Linked DNA regions of Stegostoma tigrinum. The protein of the gene in region 1 purifies or fractionates together with the protein of each later gene. This does not show direct contact. Links are inferred from orthologs where the notes say so. Each region holds a gene or a part of one and is shown in the gene's direction. Other genes may lie near its edges. The genes, in order: growth factor receptor-bound protein 2, peak1, dock4 and tyrosine-protein phosphatase non-receptor type 12-like.

Region 1 (7,169 bases):
GACATCATTTGCACTGATAGTCACTTGGAATAGCTTTGCACAATCGGGTATGTCTAACACTGGGGCAGTGGTCAACGCAGCTTTCCAGCTGTGAAATTCCTCCGTTCACTGAAATTTTCTGCACTCCTTCAACCAAACAGTCAGTGGAGCGACCACACTTCTACAATTCAGTACAAATGTCTGATAAAAACCACTCTATCCCAGGAATGTTGTACTTTCCTTTTCATCGATGGTATGGGAAACTCCCCAAAAGTCCTTGTTTTTCATATTACTTGGGGCCATCAGTCCAAGTCCAGTAACATGGCCCAGGAACATGACTTAGGCTTTAGAAAAATCACTCTTAGCCACATTTATCACCAAGCCCATCTCCCAAAGTTGACTGAGCAATTTGGATTGATGCTTCAAATTTTCCTTCTTCTTCTGATTAAAATCACCGTTTCGTCAATGTAAACCACAAAACTGGGTAATCCCAAAATTACTTCATTGGTTGGTCTTTGATATGTGGCCGGAGCATTTTTCATACCAAATGGCATGATTTTACACTGGTACAAGTCTATTCAGCGTCATGAAAGCTAAAATTTCCTTCGCTCTTTCACATCAGTATCCTCTGAGTAAGTCCAAATTATAAATATAGGTTACATGTCCTACCTCGTCAATGCAGACTTCCAAATGTAGAAGTAGGATATAAATCAGAACTTGTAACTGCATTGAATTGTTGGGTACCATCTGGTTTTGATACCATTACTTTGGGTGTGCTCCATTCTTTGCAACTCACTTCAATGGAATTGTCTTTGAGCGTACATTCAATCTCATTTTGAACCTGTGCCAAATTTAGAGAGTAAGCCCTATAATGCTGAGGTTTAATCAGAACATCATTTCCTACACCTACATCATTATATCAGTAATTAGTAATTAGATTAGTACTTCATCTTCAAGATGCTAACATTGTGGATTTGGAAAGAGCTGTCTAGGGATCGTTAATGGTTTTTGCAGTGCATCCTTTGGGTGGTCACTCTGCTAGGTGGTCTATATAGAAAATCCAGCCAACAGAATGATGAATAGGGTCAATTTTGTCATTCCAGTAATAACAACTCCTTAAGGAAAACACAGTAAGATGATAGTAGTCTGCAGAATCTTCCCAAGTACATGATGTGGAGGTGCCAGCATTGGACTGGGGTGGACAAGATCAAAAATCACAACACTGCGTTATAGTCCAACAGGTTTATTTGAAGACACAAACTTTTGGAATCTCATTTCTTCAGTGTCAGTGAGAGAGGTGACATCAGACACAGAATTTATAAGCAAACAGTCAAAGGGTCATATAACTGATGTGGTATTAAACAATTAAATGTTAAATCTTTAATCAGTTAGAAAGGATTAATATGCAATTGCAATATTGCAATTCAAGGATTAATACTTGGACTTTCAGAAAGCTTTTGACAAAGTTCCACAAAGGAGATTAATGTGCAAGGGAAAAGTGTGGGGGATTGGGAGAAGTGTATTGAGATGGATAGGAAACTGGTTGGCACAGAACGGACAAAGAGTAGGAATTAATGGTCATTTACAAATTGGCAGGCAGTAGCTAGGGGGGTGCCATAGGGATCAGTGCTGGGACCCTAACTATTCACAATATATACTGATTTGGATGATGGAACAAAATATCACATCTCCAAGTTTGGAGATGATACCAAGTTGGAATGGGGGGGTGAGGGGGGTGAACTGCGACAAGGATGCAGATATACTTCAGCATGATCTCAACAGGTTGGGTGAATGGGCACATAAATGGTAAAAGCAGTATAATTTGGATAAATCTGAGGTTATTCACTTTGGAAGCAAAAACAAGAAGGCAGATTACTACCTGAATGGCTGTAAATTGGGAGAGAGCAGTGTGCAGCGGTTCTGGGTGTCCTTGTGCACCAGTCGCTGAAGGTAAGCATGCAGGTGCAGCAGGCGGTAAAGAAGGCAAATGGTATGTTAGCCTTCATTGTGAGAAGTTTCCAGTACAGGAACAGGGATGTGTTGTTGCAGTTGTACAGAGCCTTGGTGAGACCACACCTGGAATATTATGATGAAGGGTCTAGGCCCGAAACGTCAGCTTTTGTGCTCCTGAGATGTTGCTTGGCCTGCTGTGTTCATCCAGCTCCACATTTTGTTATCCTGAATTCTCCAGCATCTGCAGTTCCCATTATCCTTGGAATATTACGTGCAGTTTTGGTCTGCTTTTCCGAGGAAGGATGCTCTTGCTCTCGAGAGAGTGCAGCAAAGGTTTACCAGGCTGATTCCAGAGATATTGACTAGGTTCGGATTGTTTTTGCTGGAGTTCAGACGAATGAGGGGTGATCTCATAGACTTATGAAATTCTAACAGGACGAGACAGGGCAGATGCAGGGAGGATGTTCCTGATGGTGGGTGTGTCTAAAACCAGTGATCACAGGTTGAGGATTTGGTGTAGGCGATTTAGGACGCACATGAGGAGACATTTCTTCACCCAAAGAGTGGTGAGCCTATCAAATTCATTATCACAGGAAGTAGTTGATAGCAAAACATTGTATGTTTTCAAGTGGTGACTAGATACAGCACTTGGGGCAAATGGGATCAAATGTTACAGGGAAAGAGCAGGATTAGGCTATTGAGTTGGACAGTCAGCCATGATCTTGAAGAACGGTGGAGCAGGCTCAAAGGGTGGAATGGCCACCTTCTGCTCCTATCTTCTATGTTTCTATGTAAATTCCCAAGTTTCTTTCAAGTCACTGCTCTGAGAATAACTAAAGATTTTATCTTTGCCCTCAGTATACCAGAGGTGGCATCCAAGGGTAGACAATGCATTTTACATGAGAGGCCTCATTTAGAATCTGGCTGTGTATCAAATTGGACTGATTTTATTTCCAAAGTAAGAATTTATAAAAGGCCACATTGACTACCTACAAACGTGTGAGCTATTTGAACAAAATAGAGTTACAAAGCAAATTCACCCCATAGATTTGTATGTGAGGGAAAGAGAGAGAAAGGGACAGCATGTGTCTGTATTCTATTACATTCCTGACTTACCTTCCAGATACTCAATAGGCTTTAAGAAGTTAGGGTGTAAGTTATTCACCACAGGTTTCCTAGCCTCTGAGCTGTTCCTATAGCCACATATAGCTAGTCCAGTTCACCTTCTGCTCAATGGAACCCCTACGATGTTGATATTGGGGTATTTAGTGACGTTGATGCCAATGACTCTCATTGGATGATTGTTACATTCTCTCTTTTAAATTGCTTATTGCCTTGCAGTTGTATAGTGTGAATGTTTATCAACCAATATTTTGTGTTATCCAGATCTTGCTACATTTTGATATGGACTACTTCAATATCTAAGGTACCTCTTTCAAATTAAGATCCGTTGAGAGCTTAAAAGAAACAACCTCTCACAGTCAGCAGTACCAGTGGGTACCAAATGTGGGCTTTCTTCTTCAGCTCACAGTAGATAGTGAGGCCACGAATCTTAAAAGAGCCGCTCCGATTTTTACTTAGGAGAATGCTCAGCAAAGTGGTGTTGATGAACAAGGCAGAGTGGAAGAGTTAAAAATTCAATTACTTGACAAAACAATGAGGGCATCGATGATTAATAATGATGTGTACCAATGCTGCATGGGATCATGAGGAACAAGCGTGGAAGAGGGTGAAGAACAGATTGTGAAATACTGATACACTCTCCATCTTGACAGAGGTGCACAGCAGAGAAATTTTCAGACTACTGACACGAATTTCCTTTCTTCCTTTTCAGGAGATGGAGAATCATAACAGCAATACAGAGCCTACCAGTAACTTAACAGTACTCCTCCACCAGCACCAACAATGTGGTGCCAATAAGCAAGCTCACAATGTCTTCCAAAGGAATGGTCAAAGAGCGAGGACCATTGAAGTTTACCAACACGAGGTGCATTTCACAGGAATTAGACATTCGAAAGCGCAGGTCAGGAGAAGAATGAGAACTGAAAACACCCAGAGATACTCAAGTTTATGCTCCAACTCAAGACAGAAAACCAAAGGTCAAATGACACTAAGCACAAGATGACGAAGGCGAGGTCAACGCTCGTTTCCGGTCCAGGAGCATCACGCTGAGCCTGGCTGACGCTATTCCGGTACGTGCCTCGGACACGGAACGCCCAGTGCGTGCGCAGGCGCAGTATGCGGGAGCGGCCTGTCGCAGTGCGCACGCGCAGTGGTCCCGGGCCTAGGCGACAGCCACACGCTGGCGACGGACAGGCCCAGCCCCAGACTGAAAGTCAGAGCAAGGCCAACGTCGCGCTGACATGGAGGCTATCGCCAAGTACGACTTCAAGGCCACAGCAGACGATGAGCTAAGCTTTAAGAGGGAAGATATACTGAAGGTGAGGCCGCCGCGATGAGATCGCGGCTAAAGCCGGATTCAGGAGCGGAGGAGGAAGCGTCACGGAGCGAGACTATGGAAGAGGAGAGGGAGGGGGAGAGGGAGGAGAGGGAGGGGGAGAGGGAGGAGAGGGAGGGGGAGAGGGAGGAGAGGGAGAGAGGAGAGGGAGAGAGTGAGAGAGCGAGTCGTTGGGGGGGGGGGGGAGTGGGGGGCGAAGGTGAAGAGAGCTGGTTGAAAGAGAAAGATGCATGACGGGGTAAAAGAAGACAACACGGGGAGGTAGAAAAGAGAGTGTGACCGGGGCAGGGAGGAGAGGGGGATCGAGGGAGGGAGGGAGGGAGAGAGAGAAGGAGAGGGGGATCGAGGGAGGGAGGGAGAGAGAGAAGGAGAGAGGGGATCGAGGGAGAGAGAGGAGGAGAGGGGGGATCGGGGGAGGGAGGGAGAGAGAGGAGGAGAGGGGGGATCGGGGGAGGGAGGGAGGGAGAGAGAGAAGGAGAGAGGGGATCGAGGGAGAGAGAGAGAGGAGGAGAGGGGGGATCGGGGGAGGGAGGGAGAGAGAGAGAGGAGGAGAGGGGGGATCGGGGGAGGGAGGGAGAGAGAGAGAGGAGGAGAGGGGGGATCGGGGGAGGGAGGGAGAGAGAGGAGGAGAGGGGGGATCGGGGGAGGGAGGGAGAGAGAGAGAGGAGGAGAGGGGGGATCGGGGGAGGGAGGGAGAGAGAGAGAGGAGGAGAGGGGGGATCGGGGGAGGGAGGGAGAGAGAGAGAGGAGGAGAGGGGGGATCGGGGGAGGGAGGGAGAGAGAGAGAGGAGGAGAGGGGGGATCGGGGGAGGGAGGGAGAGAGAGAGAGGAGGAGAGGGGGGATCGGGGGAGGGAGGGAGAGAGAGAGAGGAGGAGAGGGGGGATCGGGGGAGGGAGGGAGAGAGAGAGAGGAGGAGAGGGGGGATCGGGGGAGGGAGGGAGAGAGAGAGAGGAGGAGAGGGGGGATCGGGGGAGGGAGGGAGAGAGAGGAGGAGAGGGGGGATCGGGGGAGGGAGGGAGAGAGAGAGAGGAGGAGAGGGGGGATCGGGGGAGGGAGGGAGAGAGAGAGAGGAGGAGAGGGGGGATCGGGGGAGGGAGGGAGAGAGAGAGAGGAGGAGAGGGGGGATCGGGGGAGGGAGGGAGAGAGAGAGAGGAGGAGAGGGGGGATCGGGGGAGGGAGGGAGAGAGAGAGAGGAGGAGAGGGGGGATCGGGGGAGGGAGGGAGAGAGAGAGAGGAGGAGAGGGGGGATCGGGGGAGGGAGAGAGAGAGAGGAGGAGAGGGGGGATCGGGGGAGGGAGGGAGAGAGAGGAGGAGAGGGGGGATCGGGGGAGGGAGGGAGAGAGAGAAGGAGAGAGGGGATCGAGGGAGAGAGAGAAGGAGAGGGGGGATCGAGGGAGGGAGAGAGAGAAGGAGAAGGGGGATCGGGGGAGGGAGGGAGAAGGGGGATCGGGGGAGGGATTGAGAGAGAGAAGGAGAGGGGGGATCGGGGGAGGGAGAGAGAGAAGGAGAGGGGGGGATCGCGGGAGGGAGGGAGAGAGAGAAGGAGAGGGGGATCAAGGGAGGGAGAGAGAGGAGGAGAGGGGGGATCGGGGGAGGGAGGGAGAGAGAGGAGGAGAGGGGGGATCGGGGGAGGGAGAGAGAGAAGGAGAGGGGGGATCGGGGGAGGGAGGCAGAGAGAGGAGGAGAGGGGGGATCGGGGGAGGGAGGGAGAGAGAGAGAGAAGGAGAGGGGGGATCGGGGGAGGGAGGGAGAGAGAGAAGGAGAGGGGGGATCGGGGGAGGGAGGGAGAGAGAGAGAGAAGGAGAGGGGGGATCGGGGGAGGGAGGGAGAGAGAGAAGGAGAGGGGGGATCGGGGGAGGGAGGGAGAGAGAGAGAGAAGGTGAGGGGGGATCGGGGGAGGGAGGGAGAGAGAGAAGGAGAGGGGGGATCGGGGGAGGGAGGGAGAGAGAGAAGGAGAGGGGGGATCGGGGGAGGGAGGCAGAGAGAGGAGGAGAGGGGGGATCGGGGGAGGGAGGGAGAGAGAGAGAGAAGGAGAGGGGGGATCGGGGGAGGGAGGGAGAGAGAGAGAGAAGGAGAGGGGGGATCGGGGGAGGGAGGGAGAGAGAGAGAGAAGGAGATGGGGGATCGGGGGAGGGAGGGAGAGAGAGAGAAGGAGAAGGGGAATCGGGGGAGGGAGAGAGAGAGAGAAGGAGAAGGGGGATCGGGGGAGGGAGAGAGAAGGAGAAGGGGGATCGGGGGAGGGAGAGAGAAGGAGAAGGGGATCGGGGGAGGGAGAGAGAGGAGGAGAGGGGGGATCGGGGGAGGGAGGGAGAGAGAGGAGGAGAGGGGGGATCGGGGGAGGGAGGGAGAGAGAGAGAGAAGGAGAAGGGGGATCGGGGGAGGGAGGGAGAGAGAGGAGGAGAGGGGGGATCGGGGGAGGGAGGGAGAGAGAGGAGGAGAGGGGGGATCGGGGGAGGGAGGGAGAGAGAGGAGGAGAGGGGGGATCGGGGGAGGGAGGGAGAGAGAGGAGGAGAGGGGGGATCGGGGGAGGGAGGGAGAGAGAGGAGGAGAGGGGGGATCGGGGGAGGGAGGGAGAGAGAGGAGGAGAGGGGGGATCGGGGGAGGGAGGGAGAGAGAGAGAGGAGGAGAGGGGGGATCGGGGGAGGGAGGGAGAGAGAGAGAAGGAGAAGGGGAATCGGGGGAGGGAGAGAGAGAGAGAAGGAGAAGGGGGATCGGGGGAGGGAGAGAGAGAGAGAAGGAGAAGGGGGATCGGGGGAGGGAGAGAGAAGGAGAAGGGGG
Region 2 (8,011 bases), on another chromosome or scaffold:
ATGTCTTGGAAGGGTGCTTGCGAACAATCGTTTTCCCACAATGTTACTGCTTTTGTCTTTCTCTATGAAGTTGTTTAAGAAAAATGGAGCAGGAGAAACCCAAACAGCATGAAGTGTTTGTTTAACCCAAGCTGAGGTGAAAGTTGGCCTGATGGTAGCTGAATTCTTACTCCCTGCTACTTTGCCTCCATGAAGCCCCCACCCAGTTTGATTACAAAACCCGTTCAAGCAAGGGTGGCATAATAACTCAAGGTTACTTCAGAGAGTGTGACTTAAGCTTTTTTCAGACATATACAGCAGAAGGGTTTGAAGTCTGTATTAAACTGAGGCAGTTATGAGAGCTTCAGTGGCCACTGCAATGCAGGGATAGAAATTAGTTCAAGCTCCAGCTTCTGGTGGCTGCCTAACGAAATGTATTAAAAATTGCATCTTATAGACGCTAAAGCATGAATATATCCAAAAGCTATGAGTATGCCACATAAGCTGTTGTAGTTTAATTTTGAAGCTGATTTGGATAATTTTTGGCAATGCATTTGGAAGCCACATCATGAAGAAAGATTCAGAATTCAAGTTACCCTAAGATGCTTTTGTCCAACTATTTCCCTGCCCATCGGTGTTGACCAACTATGAGATTTGTTTCTTGGATTGAAATGGATCAGATGGCATCTCTTCATAATCATTCAAATTGATTAGTTGTCCACAGAGTTTACTGAAATGACCAGTTTTACTCCTGAGTGCTACTTGTTTTATCTGCTGAAGTCAGATAGCTCAGTCTTGGGCTTCAAATCCAGGACTTTCTTGGTCCGCTGTGGACAGTAGGAACATTTTTCACATAGCAACTAAAATTTATAATTTCTGAAATGGCAATATCAAAATGTAATCTGAAATGTACAGTCTTTCTTTCCAAAAAAATACTTTAAGGTAATGCCTATCAGAAAACTTTGTGCTTGATAGAACTCTTTTTAATTCTGATTTCCTGTAATTACAATATCTAAATCTGTCAAGGGCATCCTTTTTTATAGGATGGCTGAAATATTTTGTCAGTGTCTAGGTATATGTTTCCCCTTCCTGGCCACAGAAATTTCAAACTGAATGTGCACAAATTGGTCACTGTGTTTCCCACCTTTTAACAGTGACCGCACTTCAAAAGTAATTGATCATCTGTACAATATTTTGGGACACCCTAATATTGTCAAAAAGGGTATAATAAATTATTTATTTCCTTTCTTGAATAAAAATGTAATAAAAAATGTAAAATCAGTGGTTACAATAAACTGTTCAAATATATGCCAACTGTACCTAAAACATAAACAGTGATTTTTCTCATTTAGTTTTCAAAGTTGATAATTTTCTTTGTCTGGTTAGTATATCACATATTCCTGGGCCTTTTGCATAATTTGGACTCATTGATTACCCTTGTACAGATGCATTGATGTTTCAGTGTTGCAAACACTTGGGTATCACTGTGATATGCCTTTGTCTTGGAATTTGCTCATCTTCACATGTTATTAACTAGAAAATGCTTTTCTTTTCATTTTTATCCTGAAAACGTGTTGGGACACCAGTCCTAGGCTTGTTTTTGGTCCTCATCATAATCTGTACAATGAATCTGAGCAGGTAACTCAATGTTTAAAGAAAAAAACTTGCAATTTTATGCTAATTTCCTCTGTAAATATTTTAATGAATTTCTCTAATCAGGTTTCTGATGAACTAAATTTACCTAAAAAAGTCGCTGACATTCTGTTTGCTACTATGACCATAGTATAATCTATGTCTTTGACATGATTGATGGCATCATTTTTTTTTAACTTGTCTTTTAGGTTTCTAGGGTCAACCAGTTTGCAGGACAGATACATACTTGAGCAGACTCCCATATATTAATCAATGGTCATTTCTATGGGGTATGAGAAAAGAAATTGAAAGTTCAGGAAAAAAATCTTATTTCCAATGAGTTTCCATCATTTTTGCTTCTAAAGTATGTCACCAATTCCAGTGGGGAAAGGCTGAATACAATGAAAAACATAGCTATTTTTACAAACTTGGCATCTGGTATCAGATATTAATCATGCTGGACTTATACTGAAACTGGCCCTGTGCACTGATTCTCAGAACTAAGGACTGTAATGCATTCAGTAATTTCAACTATATTGTCACTTCTGCACTAATACACAGTATCAAGTGATGAAAATTATTAAGAAAATATTAAAATAAGTTTTAATAATAAAATAAGTTTTTTTTTCTTCCTGAAGAATTGAAATTGAACAGTCATTTCTGCCATCTGTAAATTCTCAATCAGTCAGGAGAAACATCTTGATCTAATAGTAGCAAGAATGTAAAACATGCCATCAGAAGGAATAGTTGAGGTAATTATTATGAATTAATTTAAAGGGAACCTAAATAGAAACATGAGTGAGAAAGAAATATGATAACAAGGTCAGCTGAAGCATGATAGGATGTTTCTGTAGAGTGTAAGCACTAGCATGGACATGCTGGACTGAATGGACAGTTTCTATGCAGTGGATCTTATGTAATTTCTCACAGGTGAGTATCATTATACTGTATTACATTTAACACTTGTTTAATCAGAATATGCCATACTTCTCTCCAAGCAGTCCCCTACTCACATTCTACCCTCCAAATTCTTCACCACCATATTTTCTCATTCCCAATCATTCCAGCCCATTCTTCACAGTCTTCCCTCAATGATTCTTCCCTCCAAATGTTCTCTCACGCACATTCTATCCTTCAAGTATTCTCACACCCAGAAGACACCGAATAAGCAGAGTATTTCAAATTGATGCCCTTCAATATAATGACAAAATCTTTTTACTCCATTATTCTATTTGCTTGAAAACTGATCAAGGCTTGAAAACTGATCATGTAAATGTGTATTTTATCAGAGCAAAACATAAGTTTTTCCATCAAGGCCATTTCTGAAGAAGGGTCCCAACCTGAAACCTCAACTTTCCTGCTCCTCTGATGCTGACTGGCCTGCTGTGTTCCTCCAGCTCCACACTGTGTTATCTCTGACTCCAGCACTGGCAGTTCTTACTGTCTCTGAATTTTTCCATCAACATCTTTTCCAATCACATTCTTCATTCTTCCCTTACATTTTCTTTCAACTCAATCTTCTTTGACACCACATTCAAGTTAAATGTGGCCTTGATGTCAGATGCAGTCACTGTCACCTCACATCTGGAATTCAGCTCCTTTGGCCATATTTGAATTAAGGTTGTAATGAGGTCAGTTGCTGACTGACCCTGGCAGAATCTGAACTGAGTGTTAGTGTGCAGGTTATAGCTAAGCAAGTGCTGTGTTGGTAACCAGCAGAGGGTCTCCTTGCCCATACTTGGCCTGATAGCAAGAGACATCATGAGTTCCACAGTCAATATGGAAGACTTCAAGGGCAGCTCTCCACAGTATACCACAATGCTGCCAGTTCTGCTGGGTTTGTCTTGCTGGTGAGTTAGAATATATCCAAGGGTGGTGACAGTGTCATCTAGGACAATGTGCCTAAATTATGATTCCATGCATTGGTTATTTCAGGCTGTTGCTTGAGCTGTCTTTGACACTAGGCCTCAGAGTCAGGGCAACTTTGCAGGTCAACAGATCAGTTTTTGCTGTTGTTGTTTTAGTGTCTTAGTTAATGCCTGCTGGTCCTTCTGGTTTCATTTTTTTTTCCTTTGTAGGAGCTAATACAACTCAGTGTCTTGCTGAAACAAAAACAGAAATTGCTGGACAAACTCAGCAGGTCCGGCATCATCTGTGGAATGAAAACAGATTTAACATATTGGGTCCAGTGACCCTTCTTCGGCGTCTCGCTGAGTCATTTGAGGGCAGTTAAGAGTAAACCACATTGCCATGGGTGTGGTGTCATATGCGAGCCAGACCAGGTGAGGTTTCCTTCCTTAAACAGCATTAATGGTTATCATTAGACTTTTACTTGCAGATTTTGATTAGATTCAAATTCTACACATTTGCTTGGTGGAATTGAAAACCAGGTTTAATTACTTGGGTGTCTCAAATAGTACAACAGAAAATTCTGGGAAAGCTCAATAGGTCTGACAGCATCTGTGGAGAGAAATCAGAATTAATGTTTTTGGTCCAGTGTCCCGTTCTGAGGAAGGGTCACTGGACGTGAAACATTCTATTTTTGCTTCTGATTTCCAGCATAAGCAGTTCTTTCGAACACTAGTCCAGTGACAATATCACGAGGTCGTCAACTCCCCTCAGTAACAATTTATTCCAACTCCAAATCCACCCTCTCCATCCTACCTCAGGGGAGTTAGTGAGTTGAACCTTGGGTTTGTGATTCAGTGAGACCAATGGCGCGGGTTCAATTCTCCATGGAACCATAGTTAGCACAGAGGAGTCGCTTTCTTAACCTTGTCCTCGCCAGAAACATGGTGACACTTAGATTAAACCACCACCAGCCATCTCTCACTAATGAGAGAGCAGCCCCATGGTCTTTGACCTTAACCTTTCTCTCAACATCTCTCAAGAATAACGGTTTGGAACTTTCGGCTCGAGACGCCTGATTTGAGTTTTGCCACATCGCGCGTGGTGGTTTTGCAAGGTGAGGAGGCAGGAGTCTGCGCAGAAGGGTCGGTGGGAGAGGAATGGGGGGGGCTGACACTGATGGGGCGGGACTGGCAGTGAGCAGGCGGGGTTTCGTGACGAAAGGGGCGGGACTGGCCGTAATGGGGCGGTGCAGTGCGGCGACTGGGATGGAACAGGCCTTTGTCGGGGTTGGGCTATGGGGAGGGGAAATGCGCCGAAATGGGCGGGGCGGTCTGTAAAGGGGCGGGGCTGACGATAATGGGGCGGGTCAATCTGTCGAATAGGTTGGGACACTGTGCAGGGGCGGGGAAGCGTGTTGAAAGGGGCGGGGTAGTGTAGGTTCTGAGAGGAGGTTGGCTAGGGGGAAGGAAGGTCGAATGTGTTCTTTGCGTGCTCGCTCCTTTGCGACGCCATGTCCGTGATAGCGTCCGCGCCCCCGAATGCACGCTGCCGGGAGCGCGCGTCAGTGTTTTCAGTCCGAGTGCTGAGCGGCTGGTAGGCAGCTCTTAAAAAACAGAGGAAAAAGGTAGAGAAGTGCTGTGTAGGGATTAAAACAGATCAAAACCCCCAGAAAAAAGTCAACCCTTACCCTCTCCCCTCCTCAATCAGCTGTCAACCCTGTCTTCAGGTAAGGCTGGAATCTGTTCTTTCCTTAAAACAGTTGGTGATAATGACAATCTTTCAGTTTTAAGAAATTCCTTTGGAAGTTGTTCAGCCAAGTCTGTGTGAGAGGGGGAATCCTGTCGGCGGGAGAAGCTGCTTCAGACAGTCTGCTCCCTCAGTCCTTAACCCAGCAGCCGGCAATGTGGCACACTTCCTTAGAGGCAATCTTTCCTTGTGTGTTTGTGTTTGTGTTTGTGTTTGTGTGTGAATGTGGATGTGTAGGAAGATATCGTTAGAAATAATATTTTCTTTCCCAGACATTTTGAGGGAAGACTGCTGGCGCCTTTCATTTCGGTCAAGTTATCTCTGGGACTCAGGCAAACTTTCCTTTACTCTGAAAAGGCCATCTATTGTTTGTACTGTACCTACTGTCAAATTACACCCTCTCCTTGATATAACCAGAAGATATTCTTGGATCTACTGTTCTTTTTCATGTGTATAATCAGTTAAGAAGCGGTCTTCTTTGCTTTCAGGTACTGAATAGGGATTGTTATCCAACTATCTAAGTAGTAACCCTTTGAAGTTTTTAAAATACGCCTATATGAAATATATATTTATTTTGTCTTGAGACTTCAAGGTATGGATTGTTTTATTTTCGCCAATATTGTTGTCGGGACAGTTCAGTTCTTTGACTATGTCCTTGCTCTCAGGCTGGTACAGCTTCAGTTTGGGAGGATAAAGCTTATATTAGCGAATGTCGTATTTTTCTCTTGGAGGGACGGCAATGTAACTTATTTACGTCCTTAAGTTGTATTCCAATTTTTTTTTGAAACGTGCAAGGATCACTTGGGTTTTATTACAGCTTAGGTGCGCGAATTCTTTTGGGAAAAATTCGGATATTCTCCATTTCTATCTCAAGTTTAATTTTTTTGCATTCTTTGTTTTTGTGGTGCATGCTTTGAGCTCGATGTAATACATCGACTGGGGTGACGGAAGTGCGGCAAAATATTTACTGCACAACAAAAAGATATTTTAAAATATGATAATTGAATTAGAGTTTACAGTGGTTGCCCTTTGCAACGGAATCTGAGACAAAATTTATGCTTAAACCGGTTTTAACATCTGAAAAAAATAGATCCGGACTGTGTCGGCATAACTGAAAACAGGAATGAGATCGCTAGTTTCTACAACAACAATAATACTTCAAACCAAATCGGTTTTTAAAGGCATATCATACTTGACACATACTTACATCAGTGATAATTAGTTACCATCGACCCGTTATGTGTAGGCATGAACCACAGAGGTGGTGAGCTGTGGAATTAGATATTTATTGAGCGGTTGGATTGAGTAATTAAGGTCAGTTCCACAATCGGGATATGAAATCAATCTATTTCTATTTGTTATGCATTTTAAAATTAGCAAGAAAAATGACTTTTGTTTTGTTTTAGTATGTGGGCTGCATTTGGATCCCATTGCATTTTGTACCACCTCGGCACTGCTGCTTCAAATGCATTCTAAAGTTTGTGGAAATGAACACTGGACTTGGCTGAAATGTATTAAATGCAAATTAATTTGTGTTTGGAGAGTCAAAATCATTCCACTGTTCCTTGCATTCTACCTAATAGTGATTGGTAGATATTAGGCTGCTTGTGTGTTTCTCTGAGAAAATGTATATCTACATGATCAGTTTTCAAGCTAGAGGAACTGTTAAGCAAATAATTGGGGTGAAAAGAATATGTCCTTCTTTCAAAGGATGTTAGTCTGAATTACTCTGCTTATTTAAAATGTTTAAGTAATAGTCTTATTTAGTGTGAAATTAAATGTTTATTCATTTAATTATTTAAAATATAAATAAATGTCATTGCATGAGAAATTCTTTCTCGTTCATTGTGGCTCTCATGGGCAACATGTTGACTCAGCAGTTAGCACTGCTGTCACATAGCACCAGGGAACCAGGTTTGATTCCAGCCTTGGACAATTGTTTATGTGCAATTTGCGCACTCTCTCCAAGTCTGTGTAGGTTTCTGCTGGGTGCTCAATTTTCCTTCCACAGTCCAAAAGTGTGCAGTTTAAGTGGATTGGTCATGCCAAATTTTTCTTTCTTTATTCCATCATGGGATGAGGGTGTAGCTGGCCGGGCAGCATTTATTGCCCATACCTAATTGCTCAGAGGGCAGTTCAGAGTTGACCACATTGTTGTGGGTCTGGAGTCACATGTAGGCCAGACCAGGTAAGGATGGCAGTTTCCTTCCCTAAAGGACATTAGTGAACCAGATGAGTTTTCCTGACAATTGGCAATGGATTTATGGTCATCATTAGACTCTCTTAATTCCAGATATTTATAGAATTCAAATTCCACCATCTGCCATGGCAGGATTCAAGCCTGGGTCGTTGGAACATTATCTGGGTCTCTGGATTAACAGTCCAGCCATAATACCACTAGGCCATCACCTCCCCTCACCCCATAGTGTCCAGGGATATGCAGGTTAGATGGGTTAGCCATCGGTAAATGTGGGTATACAGGGATAGGGTTGGATGGTGGGTCTGGATGGGATGCTTATTGGAGGGTTGGTGCAGAATTGATGGGCCATATGTCCTCTACTGGCACTGTAGCGATTCTGTGATTCATTTCTTTGGCACTGAAGTTTACCGAGGCTCTTTACTCTTAAGAAGGTAGCCCCGTGAACGATCTGAACCTAATTGTATATACCCACCTTTGCCCTTGAGACTTTTTTCTTAACCAAAGTTGTTATCAGTGTCAGTTTAAATTAAAATTTAAAATTAAAATTTGATGGTAGTAATGTGGCACAGTGATAATGTCACTGCACTAGTAACTGAAAACCCC
Region 3 (7,179 bases), on another chromosome or scaffold:
GCCAAAATTTTTAATTTTCCATACTCGAAGAATGAATAAATTTCTCATGAAGAGACATTTTGGTATTTGGATTATTAGTTTTAAGTTATATCAGATAAGAGAGTCAATGTAAATTGTGTGTGCAAATGTTATTTTCTATCACCTCTTTCTTCTTTTTCTGACACAATCGACTTAAACAACAATCAAGATAAACCAACAAAACTACCAAATGGAAAATAGGTCTAATCATTCACTAAAATACTAGCAATCGGATAAGGACAAGAGGAGGTTTTTGTCTTTGAAAAACGTATAGCAGAAAAAGGCAGGTAATTGGAATTTGAGGAAGTAGCTCTAGTTAAGAGCTATCATTAGAAGATGACAGAATAAATTACTAAAAATGCTGATTTTTATAACTAAAAGGTTCTGGATAACTTTGTATGCTCCTTCCTCTTCTGAAGAGGTGACCTTATAGAGGTTTATAAAATCACGAGGGTACTAGAAAATGTGAATAGCAAATGTCTTTTCTCTAGGGTAGGGGAGTTCAAAACGAGAAGGCATAGTTAAGGTGAGAGGAGAAAGATTTAAAAGGGACCTGAGGGGCAGCATTTTCACACAGTGTGGTTTGAATGTGGATCGAGCTGCCAGAGGAAGTGGTCGATGTAAATACAGTTTTAACATTTAAAAGATACTTAGACAGGTACATGAATAGGAAAGATTTAGAGAGATATGGGTTTAGAGCAGGTGGAACTTGAACTTGGGCCTGCTGGCTAAGAGTTAGGGACATAATCCCCATTCCATGGAAGACAAACCCTGACTTCATGTTACAATTAGATTTCCAGTGCATGTCATGTGATTACAATCAAAGCAGTAGGCCTGTCTATCACCTAACATTCATAAACCAAGAGACTCAAGACAACCAGTGCAACGTACAGCTGGATGATCAAATTTAGCACAGATCAGGGAACAGGATTGCATTACATCCGTCTTGATCTGTATGACACACATCCCCACTGAATGGTCAGACATGCTAACAGTCACAAAATAAACGTACTTGTACAGAACAGAACTTAAACATCAATAGAAAACAAAAATAAGGACTTTCTCAAATCCATTGACACGAACCGTGCTACATGAATATAGAATTAGTATTAGGATTTTATTGACACATGTACTCAAGTATAGGAATGCATGAGTACAGGCAAAAGTGGTGATCATTTTGATATCCAGTCATTTATTCTCTTTGTCAGTGCTAATTCCAATTTTTTGGGAATAAATTACTCTCGAATGTTACAGAAGGGTCATTCAGTCAAACCTATGCTAGTTATCTCAAATAAGTGCTGCATGTTTAAATTCAAAGTCGCATATTGAAAAAATCACTAATCAGAAAATCCATTCTTCGCACAAGCATAAAAAAAAACTTTAGATTTTTCACCCTGAGGGCGATGATTCTGATCAATTTCAACCTAGTTGACTTCTAATTTAGAGATAATGGGAACTGCAGATGCTGGAGATTCCAAGATAATAAAATGTGAGGCTGGATGAACACAGCAGGCCAAGCAGCATCTCAGGAGCACAAAAGCTGACGTTTTGGGCCTAGACCCTTCATCAGAGAGGGGGATGGGGGGAGGGAACTGGAATAAATAGGGAGAGAGGGGGAGGCGGACCGAAGATGGAGAGTAAAGAAGATAGGTGGAGAGGGTGTAGGTGGGGAGGTAGGGAGGGGATAGGTCAGTCCAGGGAAGACGGACAGGTCAAGGAGGTGGGATGAGGTTAGTAGGTAGCTGGGGGTGCGGCTTGGGGTGGGAGGAAGGGATGGGTGAGAGGAAGAACCGGTTAGGGAGGCAGAGACAGGTTGGACTGGTTTTGGGATGCAGTGGGGGGGGGGGAATAGCTGGGCTGGTTGTGTGGTGCAGTGGGGGGAGGGGATGCACTGGGCTGGTTTGGGGATGCAGTAGGGGAAGGGGAGATTTTGAAACTGGTGAAGTCCACATTGATACCATATGGCTGCAGGGTTCCCAGGCGGAATATGAGTTGCTGTTCCTGCAACCTTCGGGTGGCATCATTGTGGCAGTGCAGGAGGCCCATGATGGACATGTCATCAAGAGAATGGGAGGGGGAGTGGAAATGGTTTGCGACTGGGAGGTGCAGTTGTTTGTTGCGAACTGAGCGGAGGTGTTCTGCAAAGCGGTCCCCAAGCCTCCGCTTGGTTTCCCCAATGTAGAGGAAGCCGCACCGGGTACAGTGGATGCAGTATACCACATTGGCAGATGTGCAGGTGAACCTCTGCTTAATGTGGAATGTCATCTTTGGGCCTGGGATGGGGGTGAGGGAGGAGGTGTGGGGACAAGTGTAGCATTTCCTGCGGTTGCAGGGGAAGGTGCCGGGTGTGGTGGGGTTGGAGGGCAGTGTGGAGCGAACAAGGGAGTCACGGAGAGAGTGGTCTCTCCGGAAAGCAGACAGGGGAGGGGATGGAAAAATGTCTTGGGTGGTGGGGTCGGATTGTAAATGGCGGAAGTGTCGGAGGATTTCTAATTTAATTTGTGGAACAATCTGGAATTCAAGAATATCCCTCTTCCTTCCTCTCTTTGCAATGAGCTCTACACAAACCTATCCTTTGTAGCCAACATTTACTTCTTTTCAGAGACTCTCATCATGGCTGCGAGACTGACCGTGCATGCCAAGTGCACTGAGAGATTCAAAAGTGCTCTAATTGCACAATGGTCATTCTCCTCCCTCTGAACCAGGAGACCTGCCTACTCCAGAGATATTTAATAACATCTCTGAACAGGTGGTGATTAGAAAAAAACATATCAGGAGTTCCAATTCCCAATTACACTATTTCACATTTCATTCTTTCAATTCTGACTGTGCTATCATCATTGATGGGATCGATCACTAATACACAAACTGACTGTGAACAAATTGGGAAAAGTTCTACATGACAATGGACAATGGACAAATTGAGTGCAGTTTAAAATTACTCTGACACAAAATCAAATGACAAGCTGTGACAACACCAGATGGGCAATAGGTACCAAATAATGAAACATATACAAAACGTATATTTTGAAATGCAGTCAATATTCAAAATCAGACAAACTGACAGATACTATTTTATGTCAGGCACACAGGAAATGCTTCAGAGATAGTAGGAAATGCAGATGCTGGAGAATCTGAGATAACAAGGTGTTGAGCTGAATGAACACAGCAGGCCAAACAGCATCAGAGGAGCAGGAAAGCTAGTGTTTTGGACCTAGACCCTTCTTCAGAAAATGCTGTAACTTTTAGAATTAGTAGTTCTAGAAAAGTGTGGATGTTCATTTCTTGAATATAATCAACTGAGGCGTTAATAAATATTCAGATTCAAAGAAAATTGTGTGATATGGGAATAGTGCAACAAAATGAGTCACATCAATCAAATTGCAATCAATTTCAAAACAGGCCCTAAAAACCAAAAAAGTCTACTCCTGCCTCTATTCCTAATACTCTCTATGACACGGAAATATTCACTGAATACCAAATGATCCTGACAAGCCCTGAACTGGAGGACATGCATCTGTAGCCATCCTCAGTTGGGCTATGACGCTCCACACATTCACCTATATTTACAGTGCAGTCCTCTGTACTTTGGGAAAATCGGTCACCTTGGTCTGCCACAGGCGAGTCCACCACGTTTGCGTGGAGTGAACCTCGTTTCATTTTAAACGTGTAACTTCTGCTGGTTTAGGAAGACTCACAGTTTCCGGCGTGACCTTTTCCCCCAGTACCGAATGTCGCCATAATGGCGTTGATTAATACACAGTAAACGCACCCAGAACGAGGAACCACTGAAAATATTTATGACTGAAGCGCCCACCTTCGCCAGCTGCTATCCCCATCACCGCCATCGAATCCGCACCACCCAAAGATCTTCATGGACAGAGGCGGGGGCGGGGCCTCCGACCAGAAACCATAACAACTGCATCGCAACCAATCGCCGCACGAAGGGTAGTGACGTTTGGGGTAGCCTCGGCAGGTGCTCTGGGAGTGTTCGTAGTCTCGGGCTTCGCCTCCAGTCAGGGCCCGGTGACAGTTGAGGACTCCAACTCCCATAAGACACTGCGCAGCAGTGGTGGTTGGGGTGAACATGTCCTCGAAACTACATTTCCCATAACACCACGCGGCAGTGATCTGCAGCCCAGACTACAACCCCCAGCAACCTTCGCGGTCACCCGGGCTCCTACCCGTCCAGAGGCTGAACAATGGTCCCGCGGAAAAACTGCTCAATAACTAGGGCGCGCTAGGAGACAAGTTTTATTGTTGGGTAAAACATACACTTATCGTATATCAGTGTCGACAATGTGGATACCGACAGACAATGAAAAATACGGTGTGGGTGAGTGCTTTCTGTGCATTTTTGTCTTGCCCCTTTCTTTTTATTCAATGAGTTGGTCTGGTGCCAGTGTCGCTGCAGAGAGCAAAGGGAGATGTTTAAGAAAAATCTGTGGAGAACTGATCCGGCCACCATAATAATGTTACCGCTTTCATAACGGTGCGAGCTGTTATCCCCGCTGGCAGATAGCAGCAGGTCTCGCTGCAAAATAGCCTTTCTTTTCACTTTCCCTTTGCTTGTTCGCTTCGGAAATGCCCTTATTGATAAAGAGAGAGAGAGAACGTAGGATGTCCTTCTTGCTTTGTGGTCTCGTTACCTTTCCCGTTTAGCATTCCCCACACCTTTCTGAAACATTCACACCATGATTTGTCTTTCTCTGCCTTTGTGTTGCTTTGCTTCATTGCTTTTGCCTGTACGACATTTGCACCTGATAATCGCTATTTATGTGTTTCCTTGATTAAAAACCAGTAAGCCTGTTTCTTAATAGGGTAGACAAAGGTTGGGAGTGTGCCTAGCTACATAGCTATAGAATAACGCCCTGAAGTGACATAATTCATCCGTTTATCAATTTGTTCTTTGTGATTTGGTTTTATGATCAGAGTTGTGTAAAGTTTAGCAAGCGATAAATGATACTGCGCTGATCGATAAACGAATGGGATAAGCTGACCTGAAACATTCCTTCCATTTAATTATTAAATATAGAACAAACGCGCTTCCAAAAGGACGGGGAACTATTTGATTTTTAATTTGGTGTAACAACAAAGCAGTGTAATCTGGATGTTACCTCCGCCGCTCAGCGGGACAACGGTTCAATGTAAGACTGATACGAAAACCGCTTCATTTTTACACAGCGGGTGACGGGCTTCAAGAAAACAAAAACATGAGATATGAGACGGCATTTAACCCCTTCTGACAATTTCAATAACCCTCCTTGTATTACTGCTGTTGCAAGCATTATTGAAGTCAGCCCCCCAGGCAAGTGTTGTTGGGGAAGGTGAAATGTTTGTGTCAGCACATTTATTCTTGATTCTTTGTGAATGGAGCTCCACAATGAGTCAGAGAGTTGCTTCATACCCAGATTGCACAGATGTCCTTCACTTTGCCTAAATATGTGTTTTTTTTAAAAAAAAAATCCGCTGACTAAATGTTGACCTCGTCCGCCTTTAGAAGAAATGATCTTGCCGGGACACATCTGGATTTCTCCCTCCGATCAATGGATATTGAAATTTCCGCTTCCCACTGCAATTTAGCCAAAGCTGTGCTGTGCTGTGCTGCAAGTCTCTGGGATTTAAACAGCACGGACTGCAGCTTTTCATCTGCTCACGCTCCGAGTAGATCCGCTGGATTTGGAGCGTGGCTTAGCTTTTAATGTCAACTCTGCGGGATCGTTAAATCTCTGCAGCAGTGAGCGAAGCCAGGATCTCAATCCATGTTTTAGTCAGTCGAGAGGACGTGGACTCGCAAGTTCCTTGTCCTACTGCGGTTAGTTGGTCACATGAAATATTGTTTTAGAAACATCATACTCTTGAACTATTTGCAGAATTTTTAGCACAGAGTCAATATATTTGGCTGGCAATAGGTACCAGTCTATCTCGCCTGGTAACAAGTTGACTTTATGAGAGAGTCTGTGTGCATTGTGTAACTAATTGCGATTTGCAATAGAGGGTAGCTTTTCAGTTTTCAAGTGGTGTCCAGGAGCCAGAAAATTGATCATGTTTTGTCATCTCCAGACCGAGGTAGCTGCAACAATTCGAATTCTGTTTTAATCAACTGGTTTGGACATGGTATGATACACCTCCGGGACATGCGAGGGGCACTAGTGAACAATGCTTTTCTTCCCCTCGTGCTATTTCTCCCTCAACCCGCTACAATCGGTGGACAGTAATGACTGCAATCTATAATGTTAGTGAAGCAAAGCTGATCATTTGGAAAAGGTGCTGGTGACAAGACGAGCAGACAACTTCAATGAGTGCAGTTTGACACGAAAGTTGTCAACTCTCATTGCCAATGCTTTAACTCTGTAGAAACAAGTTTGCAACGTTAAGCTTTTGGGGGAAAATGAGGAGGACTTTAACCTTTTTTTGCAATCAACATGTTCAGAAATGTTATGACCTACCTCTAGACCAGGTAGGACTTGACACACGGCCCTCCCAGACCAGTGCGCCGCGAGAGATAAATTTAACCTGTAGGGGATTTCTTCGTTATTCGGACATCACCTTCAGGATTGAGGGTCTAGGCTCGAAACGCCAGCTTTTGTGCTGCTAAGATGCTGCTTGGCCTGCTGTGTTCATCCAGCCCCACACTTTGTTATCTTCAGGATTGATGCTGCTTTGGAGTTGTATTGGACGGTGCAATTTTGTTGCAAGGATAATCTGATGATGGCCCGGGATGTTGCCCTTTTGGAGGGGAGGGGGGGGGATCTCTTTCCAATTCGTAGAAAGGTGATAAGACAGATTCTCTCGCAGCACAAATAAATCAATACGCTCTACCGGATACTTCTCATACTCAAACAGCAATTCTAAGGCCTTTATTGTGCTCTCAGTACATTTTTTTCGAGATGCTCAGAAGCAAACAAAAAACTGCAATATGCTGGGAATCCGAAACTAGCTGCAAGATGCAGAAAACACCAGGCTACTCAGCAGCTGTGGGGCGCACAGATACAAATCCCTTTAAGGCTTTAGACCCTTCATTGAAACTGCTGTATGAAAAGGTCGATTCTTATCTAGTTTCCTGGCGGTTGATATCTGACAACGCTGTTTCTCCAGCGTTTTCTGTTTTCTGTTTTACTTTTAAAAAAAACTGGCCAGACACAGCTCTTTTTTCCATAT
Region 4 (7,998 bases), on another chromosome or scaffold:
TTACATAATTTTATCAATTGTCCCAGAATCTACAATGATCCAATGAGTAGTGGTATGTGAGAAAGCAGCACCATTGATTAACTGTCAATTCTTAATGCTGTTCTAAGCATTCTAATTTCTCAAATTGCAGAGATAAAATGATAAATAGCATTTGGAAACTCGTAATTTTACTTCTTAATAATTTACTGAAAGTCTTTAATAAGAAACTTGAGCAGAAATCTGTCGCTTTGGAGGTATATTAAAACCTTAGAATTCCTTGTCTGTGGAAATCACTTCCAAGGGTAGGCAACATTCAAAATTAGATTTGATAGATGGATGATGAAAAAGGGAATGAAGGGGCATAGCAACAAGGAACACATGATCAGAACTTGTTTACATAGCAGGTAAATACCAATGTATACTGATTGGGCTTAATTTTCATGTTGTAATTAATATGTCTGAGCATACTAATATATTTCTAATAACTCCCATTTTCAACAGATTCATTAATGTCATCCACATTAAAAGTCAAATGTACACTTGCTCAGATTATGACTCCCAAACTGTAGCTGCAGTTCTTGCCCATTCACACCACAAATATAACATGTTTTTAAATCAAATGTCATGTCCTGGCATGAAACTATGTGAAAGAAACATACATACTATCTCCACCCTATGAAATAACTTGCTCCTATTAGAGGCTTCTGTCTGACGCTGAGCAATGGTAAATTCATGTCATTTTGCTTTGATGAACAAGTTAGTGCTTCACTTAAGTTAAATTCCATACATGTTAACAGTCAAATTGGAATGTGAGTGAGCAATTAAATGAATGCTCAAGGCTACAAAATGGAGTGTGTGCAAAATATAATGTGAATAACAACAAAAAAAAACACATTTTCATACAATTCTTACCAGAGTTCATTGGAAGGGCAGCCCAGCTTGGTCCCATAATGGTAAATTACTCTTATAATTTGTTGTTTCGAAGGCCAAATTGTTAAAATCACATGGTTAGAACATAGAATGTAGAACAATACAGTGCAGAACAGGCCCTTCAGCCCTTGATGTTGTGCCGACCTATTAACTAATCTAAGTCCCTGCCCCTACACTATCCCATCATCATCCATATGCTTATCCAAGGACTGTTTAAATGCCCCTAATGTGGCTGAGTTAACTACATTGGCAGGCAGGGCGTTCCATGCCCTTACCACTTGAGCCTTGAGCCACTGAAATCCAATCAATTAATAGTGGAGTACTTAGAAGGCAAATAGTAATTATTTCTGTAGGTGCTAAAAATACTGACATTTTGTTACACATTTATTGAAAAAATATTCAACACGAAAATAATTGCACATGAAAATTAAATGTTAGACAGCATTTTATTACAAAGTATATGTAGATTTTAGAAAGCATTTGCTCATCCTATAATATGTGAGAATTATTGTTTCCTCTAAGCTAAATGAATTAAGGGTTTTTTAGACCATAAGACCATAAGACATAGAAATGGAAGTAAGGCCATTTGGCCCATCAAGTCCACTCCGCCATTTAAATCATGGCTGATGGGCATTTCAACTCCACTTCCCTGCACTCTCCCCGTAGCCCTTGATTCCTTCTGAGATCAAGAATTTGTCGATCTCTGCCTTGAAGGCATCCAACGTCCCAGCCTCCACTGCACTCCGTGGCAATGAATTCCACAAGCCCACCACTCTCTGGCTGAAGAAATGTCGTCTCATTTCAGTTTTAAATTTACCCCCTCTAATTTTAAGGCTGTGCCCACGGGTCCCAGTTTCCCCGCCTAACGGAAACAACTTCCTAGCATCCACCCCTTCTAAACCATACATTATCTTGTAAGTTTCTAGCACTTGTTGTTCGAGTGCATCACTGATTGATACATCTCAAAATTATTAATTTCATTGCTTTCAGTTAAACCCAACCCTGCTCCAGCAACAAAAGCATTTTTTGTGTTGCATTGCTGGTTAAAGCTGACTTCAAAAAATTCATAGCACAGGATTGAGCAAAAATGTCATTAAGTGTCATGGGAAAATGGTTAAACTTTCTTGTTGCAGGCAGTCTTGTCAAAGTGCTGCGATTCAGTGAAGGATCTGCCTTTGAGCAGAGAACTCAAGAAGTAGTCAGTATATTTAGTTACATTCCACAATATCTCAGATGATGAAGTAATCCAATATTCAAGAATATCTAGATTTAGGCAAGCAAACATTTGGCACCCAAGTGCTGCGATTTTCTTTTTCCTCCAGGTATGGTGCCAAGGCAGTCCTCACGTCTGCCTCAACTGAAATATGGATCAAACCCATTCTGTTGGTATTAAGCTGATCTGCACACTTGCTGTCTATCTCAGCTTCACTTCCTCAAAAATACAGCGTTATCACAGGGAAGTGATTAATTAAGTAGCTTTATATTATTGGGCCTAGGTCATTGTCCTGGGAAAAAAGCAGCAATTACCTGAGGCTGAGATGATTTGTCTTCCAACATCAACCTTCTTTTGTGCCAGATATGATTCTCAACCACTGGAAATTTTTCCTATTTCCCACTGACTTCAATTTTGTTAGGGCTCTTGGGTATCACACGTGGTTGCATGTTGCCATGACTTTAAGGGGAGCCACTGTAATTCCATGTCTGGAGTACAGCTCTTGAGAAAGGCTGGACTGATGTATGAAACTGAGTGGATTTGACTGGGACCAAGCTGAGTCTCAGTGACATGCACAGAACCCATCATCATTCCTCAGATTCTTCACTTCAATGCCGCAGTTTTGTTTGCCGGAAGTAAGCTGAACACACTCCTCTTGCAGAGAAACATACTCTTAACTGAACCCAGAGAATTTAGGTAAACAGTGGCAATTTCAACAATTTTAGGAAGTCTGTAGGTGTACTACAGTTGAAAATAAACTGCCTTAAACAGTAGTCTACAAGAGAATCAAGTGACATTGGGATAGGGAGAAAAGTGGACTTAAGGCTGCAGTCAGATCAGCCATGACCTTACTGAATCGTGGAACAGATTGATGGGCCAAATGACTTATTTCTGCTTCTATTTTGTATGTTCCACATAACTCTTCCCCAATGCAAAGATACAGTTGAAGCAATTAGCAGAAATAAATTGCATTAATAACTTCAAGCGTGTGATCAACTCAATACAAGCTCAAGCAAAGAGGAAGTAGAGAAAACTGTGCTCTTTATTAGCAGGTTAAGTTCTCACTGTACGGACGTAAATTTTAAGCTTCCCCTTCCTACCCTTTTTTTTGAAAGACTTAAGGGATGTAGACATTATGACCATTTATTGCCCATTCTTAGTTCCGCTTGAAGGTGCCTTCTTGAAATACTGTATTTGCTGTGTACACCTACAATGTTGTTGGGAGTTCTAGTATTTTGATACAGTGACATTGACAGAGCAGCAGTACTTTTCCATACCAGATGGTGAGTGGCTTGGAAGCAGTGTGGTCTTTCTTTTGCTCCTCATCAGGTTAAAAGAAATATGGAGATCTACAGCACAGGAGAAGGCCTATTGACCCACAGAGTCAGTACCAGTCAAAAAACAGGCACCTGACAATTCTAAGATAATGGGAACTGCAGATGCTGGAGAATTCCAAGATAATAAAATGTGAGGCTGGATGAACACAGCAGGCCAAGCAGCATCTCAGGAACACAAAAGCTGACGTTTCAGGCCTAGTTTCTAGGCCCGAAACGTCAGCTTTTGTGCTCCTGAGATGCTGCTTGGCCTGCTGTGTTCATCCAGCCTCACATTTTATTAACCTGACAATTCTAATCCCATTATCCAGTACTCAGTTCATAGTCTTGTGTGTCTTGACATTGCAAGTAGACATCTAAATACTACTTAAATATTATGAGGATTTTCTGCACATACTACCCTTATAGATAGTGAATTCCAGATTTCACCAGCCTCTGGATGAAATTGTTTTTCTTTGCATCTCCACTAAATCTCCTGTCCCTTATCTCAAATCCATGTTCCCTGCTTACTGATCCTCCACCAAGGAGAAAGGTTCCTCTCTATCTTTCTTCGCTATCTATTCCCTCATAACGTTTTAACAAAGATCTGTGGCTCAGGTTGTGGCTGGAATTGTTGGCTGTTTCGCAAAGCTGACTGATTTGAGTGCTAATGTTCCACCCCCCTTTTAGATGACATCTTCAGAGCTGTCTAGCCTCTGTCTAAGCCCCTCATAATTTTATATATTCTAATCACATCTCTCCTCAGTTGCAAGGAAAACACCAATCTATCCAACTTCTCCTCACAACTAAACCTCTGCTGTCCAGGCAACAGACTGGCAAATCTCCTCTGCACCTGTCTGGTGCAATCACATCCCTCCTATTATGTGGATTCCAGAATTACACAATACTCTGGCTGTGGCCTGACAAACATTTTATACAATTCAACATGACCTCCCTCCTCCTAAATGATTGGTCTCAGCTAATAGGGCAAACTTCCCATTGCCTTCTTAACTACTTAATCTACTGTCCTCTACCTTAAGGAACCAGCAGACATGCACATCAAGTTTGCTCTGATCCTTAGTGCTTCCTAGATTTCTACCCTTTATATATTCCATTGCCTTGCTTCTCCCGCCCAAATGCATCACCTCACACTTTATTCGGACTGAATTCTATTTGCCGCCACTGACCTGTCTGACCAAATCATCTTCAACCTTCAGTACTCTAAAGCTATCCTCCTGTATTGGCAGTAACCACTTTAGCATCACTGCGCAGCTTTGAAGTGTTTGCTAAAATGTCTGTTTATGAACACAATTCATATGCTTTAACGAAACAACCCAGACTCAGCAATCAAACATCAAACGTCACCACCCAACCCCTGCTGAAAGAGAATTGCACAGTCCTCTGGAGTATCAAGTTGGATAGAATGAGCAGGTGTAACAATGAGTGGTAGGTGCAGGGCCGAATCAGCTGGCTAAGTCGCGGCATGACGCAATGGCAACGCTGGGCCAATGAGAGGCAGGAGGAGGGGCGGGGCGTGTGGGGGCGGGGAAGGGGAAGAGGGCGAAAGAGAAAAAGAGGAAAGTGGCGCCGGGCGGGTGAGGGGAAGCTGAGAATTAAGGATTCTCATACGGAAGAGGTGTGTAGGTGGAGGTTTTTTTTAACACATTAAAAAAAACGCAAGATGCGAAAGTGATAAGAGTTCGATCCTGTCCGTTGGTCTTGAATTTTCCAATGTGCCGAGAAGATGGAGCAAAGCGAAATTCTGAGGAAATTCATTAACCGGGTGCTGGAAATGAAAGTCCGCGACCAGAATGGGGAGGACAACTTTGCCAGCGACTTCATGGTGAGTTTAATTGTTTTTTTTCTCACTTACGAGTATTGTTTTTCCTTTGTAGTAAACGAACTTTCGCGAACTGGAATCGATTTTTCTCCTTTGGGTGAGTTTGGCCGTGTAAGGTTGGTGGCGGCGCCTTAGCAACAACCCTTACCCCTTGTCCCAGCTTCTCAACCAACACCCACTGGGGAGGAATGAGGACCATCACTGCCAGCTCCAGGCTGTGCGGCCTAAACCGCTCCCTCATGGCTTCTCGTTCACTTTCAGAAAACAAAAATCAGAAAGCTGCATTTGTCGGGTGCTGCGAACTCTGTTTTTTCAGAGATACCATTTAAGCTATAGTTTGGACAATTGTAAAGCTGTGTTTGTTAAAGGGTCTGTCTTGAGTGAAACTCCTGCCTTGTACAACAAAAAATGCAATGAATTTATCAGCTGTGACTCAGAAATGTGGGGAGTTTGCGGATGTTGCGCAAGGCACGGGGCGTTGTGTTCGCTCCAACGAAGTGTGTAATGACTGGATTTTCGTTGTTGACTGGACTGTTTTTATTTTTTTGCTTCAGTACAATATTCGGAACACTTCGGGTCCTGATTATTAGACATGCTAGTATCCGCTGGAGTAACTCGGGTACCGAAAAAGAGAATCAGCGTCTACTAGTACCCAGGAACTGTATGTGGGGGGAGGAATACGATTTAGCTGCATTCACTGAATGAAAGAGTTTGTGGACATTAGTGATTGCATGAAGGCAAGATTAAACAGGATTATGATAATCTTTTTTGGTGGAATGAGCCCTCTGGTATTCAATGCTTAGATTGAATCGTTAGCACATAAGTGAAAATGTTGGAGGGAGGTTCATGCCTGTGAATCTTGTCTGTAATGATTCACAACATTTTGGGGAAAATCAACATTGGAAGTTGAATTTTGATTAAAAGTTGCCATCAATGAACAATAGAAGATGGCTGTTCAGTCCATTGACATCTGCATCTATTATTCACCTCCACTGTTACATATTTTAATATAATACATTAAGCACAGTAAATGCCTTTTGGTACTTCACAGGAGAAATTTTATAGAAAGTGACATTAGGAGAGACAGCCAAAAGCTTGGGCAGCAATTTAAGTTTGAAGGCTTGCAGATGCTGCAGTTAAAATCAGGGATGTGCATGAGGTCAGAATGGAAGAACATAAACATTTTGGAATGTGGTAGGGCTGGAGTAACCGTGGAATGAGCTGCCAGAGGTGGTGGAGGAAGCTGGTACAATTGAATAGTTAAAACACATCCGTGTGGGTATATGAATAGGAAGGGGTTGGACGGATGTGGGCTAAATGCTGGCAAATGGGACCAGATTTATTTAGGATACTTGGTCAGGATGATGAGTAGGACATCTTTATGACTCCTTACTTTTGGAACAATAAGGAATGAGGTTGTAGAAGGCTTTGAAAATGAGAATGAATGTTTTAAACTTTGAGGCGTTTTGGACCAGGACTAATAAAGGTGAGCATGCAAGGAGGTGACATTTGAATGGAATCTGTGCGAGTTAAGTTGCAGACAGCAAAGTTTTAAATGAACTCCAATTTAAAATGGAAGATGGGAGGCAAGCCAGATGAGCATTGGAATAGTCAAGACTAAAGCCAGCAAAGGCATAGTTGCTGGGAGAACAAGTGAGCTGCAGAGTTTGGAATCAGACATCACTAAAGGTAACAAGGTGTAGAGCTGGGTGAACGCAGCAGGCCAAGCAGGAAAGCTGACGTTTTGGGTTGGGACTTCTCTTTAGAAGAAACTTCAGCTTTCCTGCTCCTCTACTGCTTGGCCTGTTGTGTTCATTCAGCTCGCTACCTTGTTATCTCAGATTCTCCAGCTTTGACAATTCCCACAATCTCTGAATCACAAGGGTAGAGTTTCATATAAAAGTGGAAAGAACTGTGGATGCAGTAAATCAGAAACAAACACAGAAATTGTTGAAAAAGCTCACCAGGTATGGAAGCATTTATGAAGACAAAGCAGAGTTAACATTTTGGGTCTGGTGACCTGAGGAAGGGTCACTGGTCCCTAAAATGTTAACTCTGATTTCTCTTCAGATGCTGCCAGATCTTCTGAGATTTTCAAGTAATTTCTGTTTGTTGTAGAAGTTTGTATAGTTGGGATGTTGTGAATATATGGTTGAAAGTTCATGTGGTCAAACGTGACAAGGTTGAGAACTACCTTTGTTTCAAGGTTGTAAGGAGTTGATGATAAAATGTGAGGCTGGATGAACACAGCAGGCCAAGCAGCATCTCAGGAGCACAAAAGCTGACTTTTCGGGCCTGGACCCTTCTTCAGAGAGGGGGATGGGGAGAGGGAACTGGAATAAATAGGGAGAGAGGGGGAGGCGGACTGAAGATGGAGAGTAAAGAAGATAGGTGGAGAGAGTATAGGTGGGGAGGTAGGGAGGGGATAGGTCAGTCCAGGGAAGACTGACAGGTCAAGGAGGTGGGATGAGGTTAGTAGGTAGATGGGGGTGCGGCTTGGGGTGGGAGGAAGGGATGGGTGAGAGGAAGAACAGGTGAGGGAGGCAGAGACAGGTTGGACTGGTTTTGGGATGCAGTGGATGGAGTGGAAGAGCTGGGCTGGTTGTGTGGTGCAGTGGGGGGAGGGGACGAACTGGGCTGGTTTAGGGATGCAGTAGGGGAAGGGGAGATTTTGAAACTGGTGAAGCCCACATTGATACCATACGGCTGCAGGGTTCCCAGGC

Evidence for each region.
Region 2: the proteins of growth factor receptor-bound protein 2 (region 1) and peak1 purify together in Homo sapiens (co-immunoprecipitation; 3 studies listed by BioGRID and IntAct, counting the BioPlex papers as one, with this or other methods). This does not show direct contact. The link is inferred for Stegostoma tigrinum from reciprocal best matches to the Homo sapiens genes GRB2 and PEAK1.
Region 3: the proteins of growth factor receptor-bound protein 2 (region 1) and dock4 purify together in Homo sapiens (co-immunoprecipitation; 4 studies listed by BioGRID and IntAct, counting the BioPlex papers as one, with this or other methods). This does not show direct contact. The link is inferred for Stegostoma tigrinum from reciprocal best matches to the Homo sapiens genes GRB2 and DOCK4.
Region 4: the proteins of growth factor receptor-bound protein 2 (region 1) and tyrosine-protein phosphatase non-receptor type 12-like purify together in Homo sapiens (affinity purification with mass spectrometry; 3 studies listed by BioGRID and IntAct, with this or other methods). This does not show direct contact. The link is inferred for Stegostoma tigrinum from reciprocal best matches to the Homo sapiens genes GRB2 and PTPN12.

Annotation. Positions count from the first base shown.
Region 1 is NC_081375.1:55,040,244-55,047,412, forward strand, and holds the start of growth factor receptor-bound protein 2, read left to right. Parts: upstream 1-4,169; 5' UTR 4,170-4,295; coding exon 4,296-4,373; intron 4,374-7,169. UniProt on the Homo sapiens protein: Non-enzymatic adapter protein that plays a pivotal role in precisely regulated signaling cascades from cell surface receptors to cellular responses, including signaling transduction and gene expression.
Region 2 is NC_081389.1:20,109,606-20,117,616, forward strand, and holds the start of peak1 (inactive tyrosine-protein kinase PEAK1), read left to right. Parts: upstream 1-5,006; 5' UTR 5,007-5,188; intron 5,189-8,011. UniProt on the Homo sapiens protein: Probable catalytically inactive kinase. Scaffolding protein that regulates the cytoskeleton to control cell spreading and migration by modulating focal adhesion dynamics. Acts as a scaffold for mediating EGFR signaling.
Region 3 is NC_081371.1:31,391,350-31,398,528, reverse strand, and holds the start of dock4 (dedicator of cytokinesis protein 4), read left to right. Parts: upstream 1-4,174; 5' UTR 4,175-4,317; coding exon 4,318-4,354; intron 4,355-7,179. Other genes in the region: znf277 (zinc finger protein 277), read right to left, coding at 3,624-3,678. UniProt on the Homo sapiens protein: Functions as a guanine nucleotide exchange factor (GEF) that promotes the exchange of GDP to GTP, converting inactive GDP-bound small GTPases into their active GTP-bound form. Involved in regulation of adherens junction between cells.
Region 4 is NC_081378.1:24,619,935-24,627,932, forward strand, and holds the start of tyrosine-protein phosphatase non-receptor type 12-like, read left to right. Parts: upstream 1-4,993; 5' UTR 4,994-5,179; coding exon 5,180-5,278; intron 5,279-7,998. UniProt on the Homo sapiens protein: Dephosphorylates a range of proteins, and thereby regulates cellular signaling cascades. Dephosphorylates cellular tyrosine kinases, such as ERBB2 and PTK2B/PYK2, and thereby regulates signaling via ERBB2 and PTK2B/PYK2.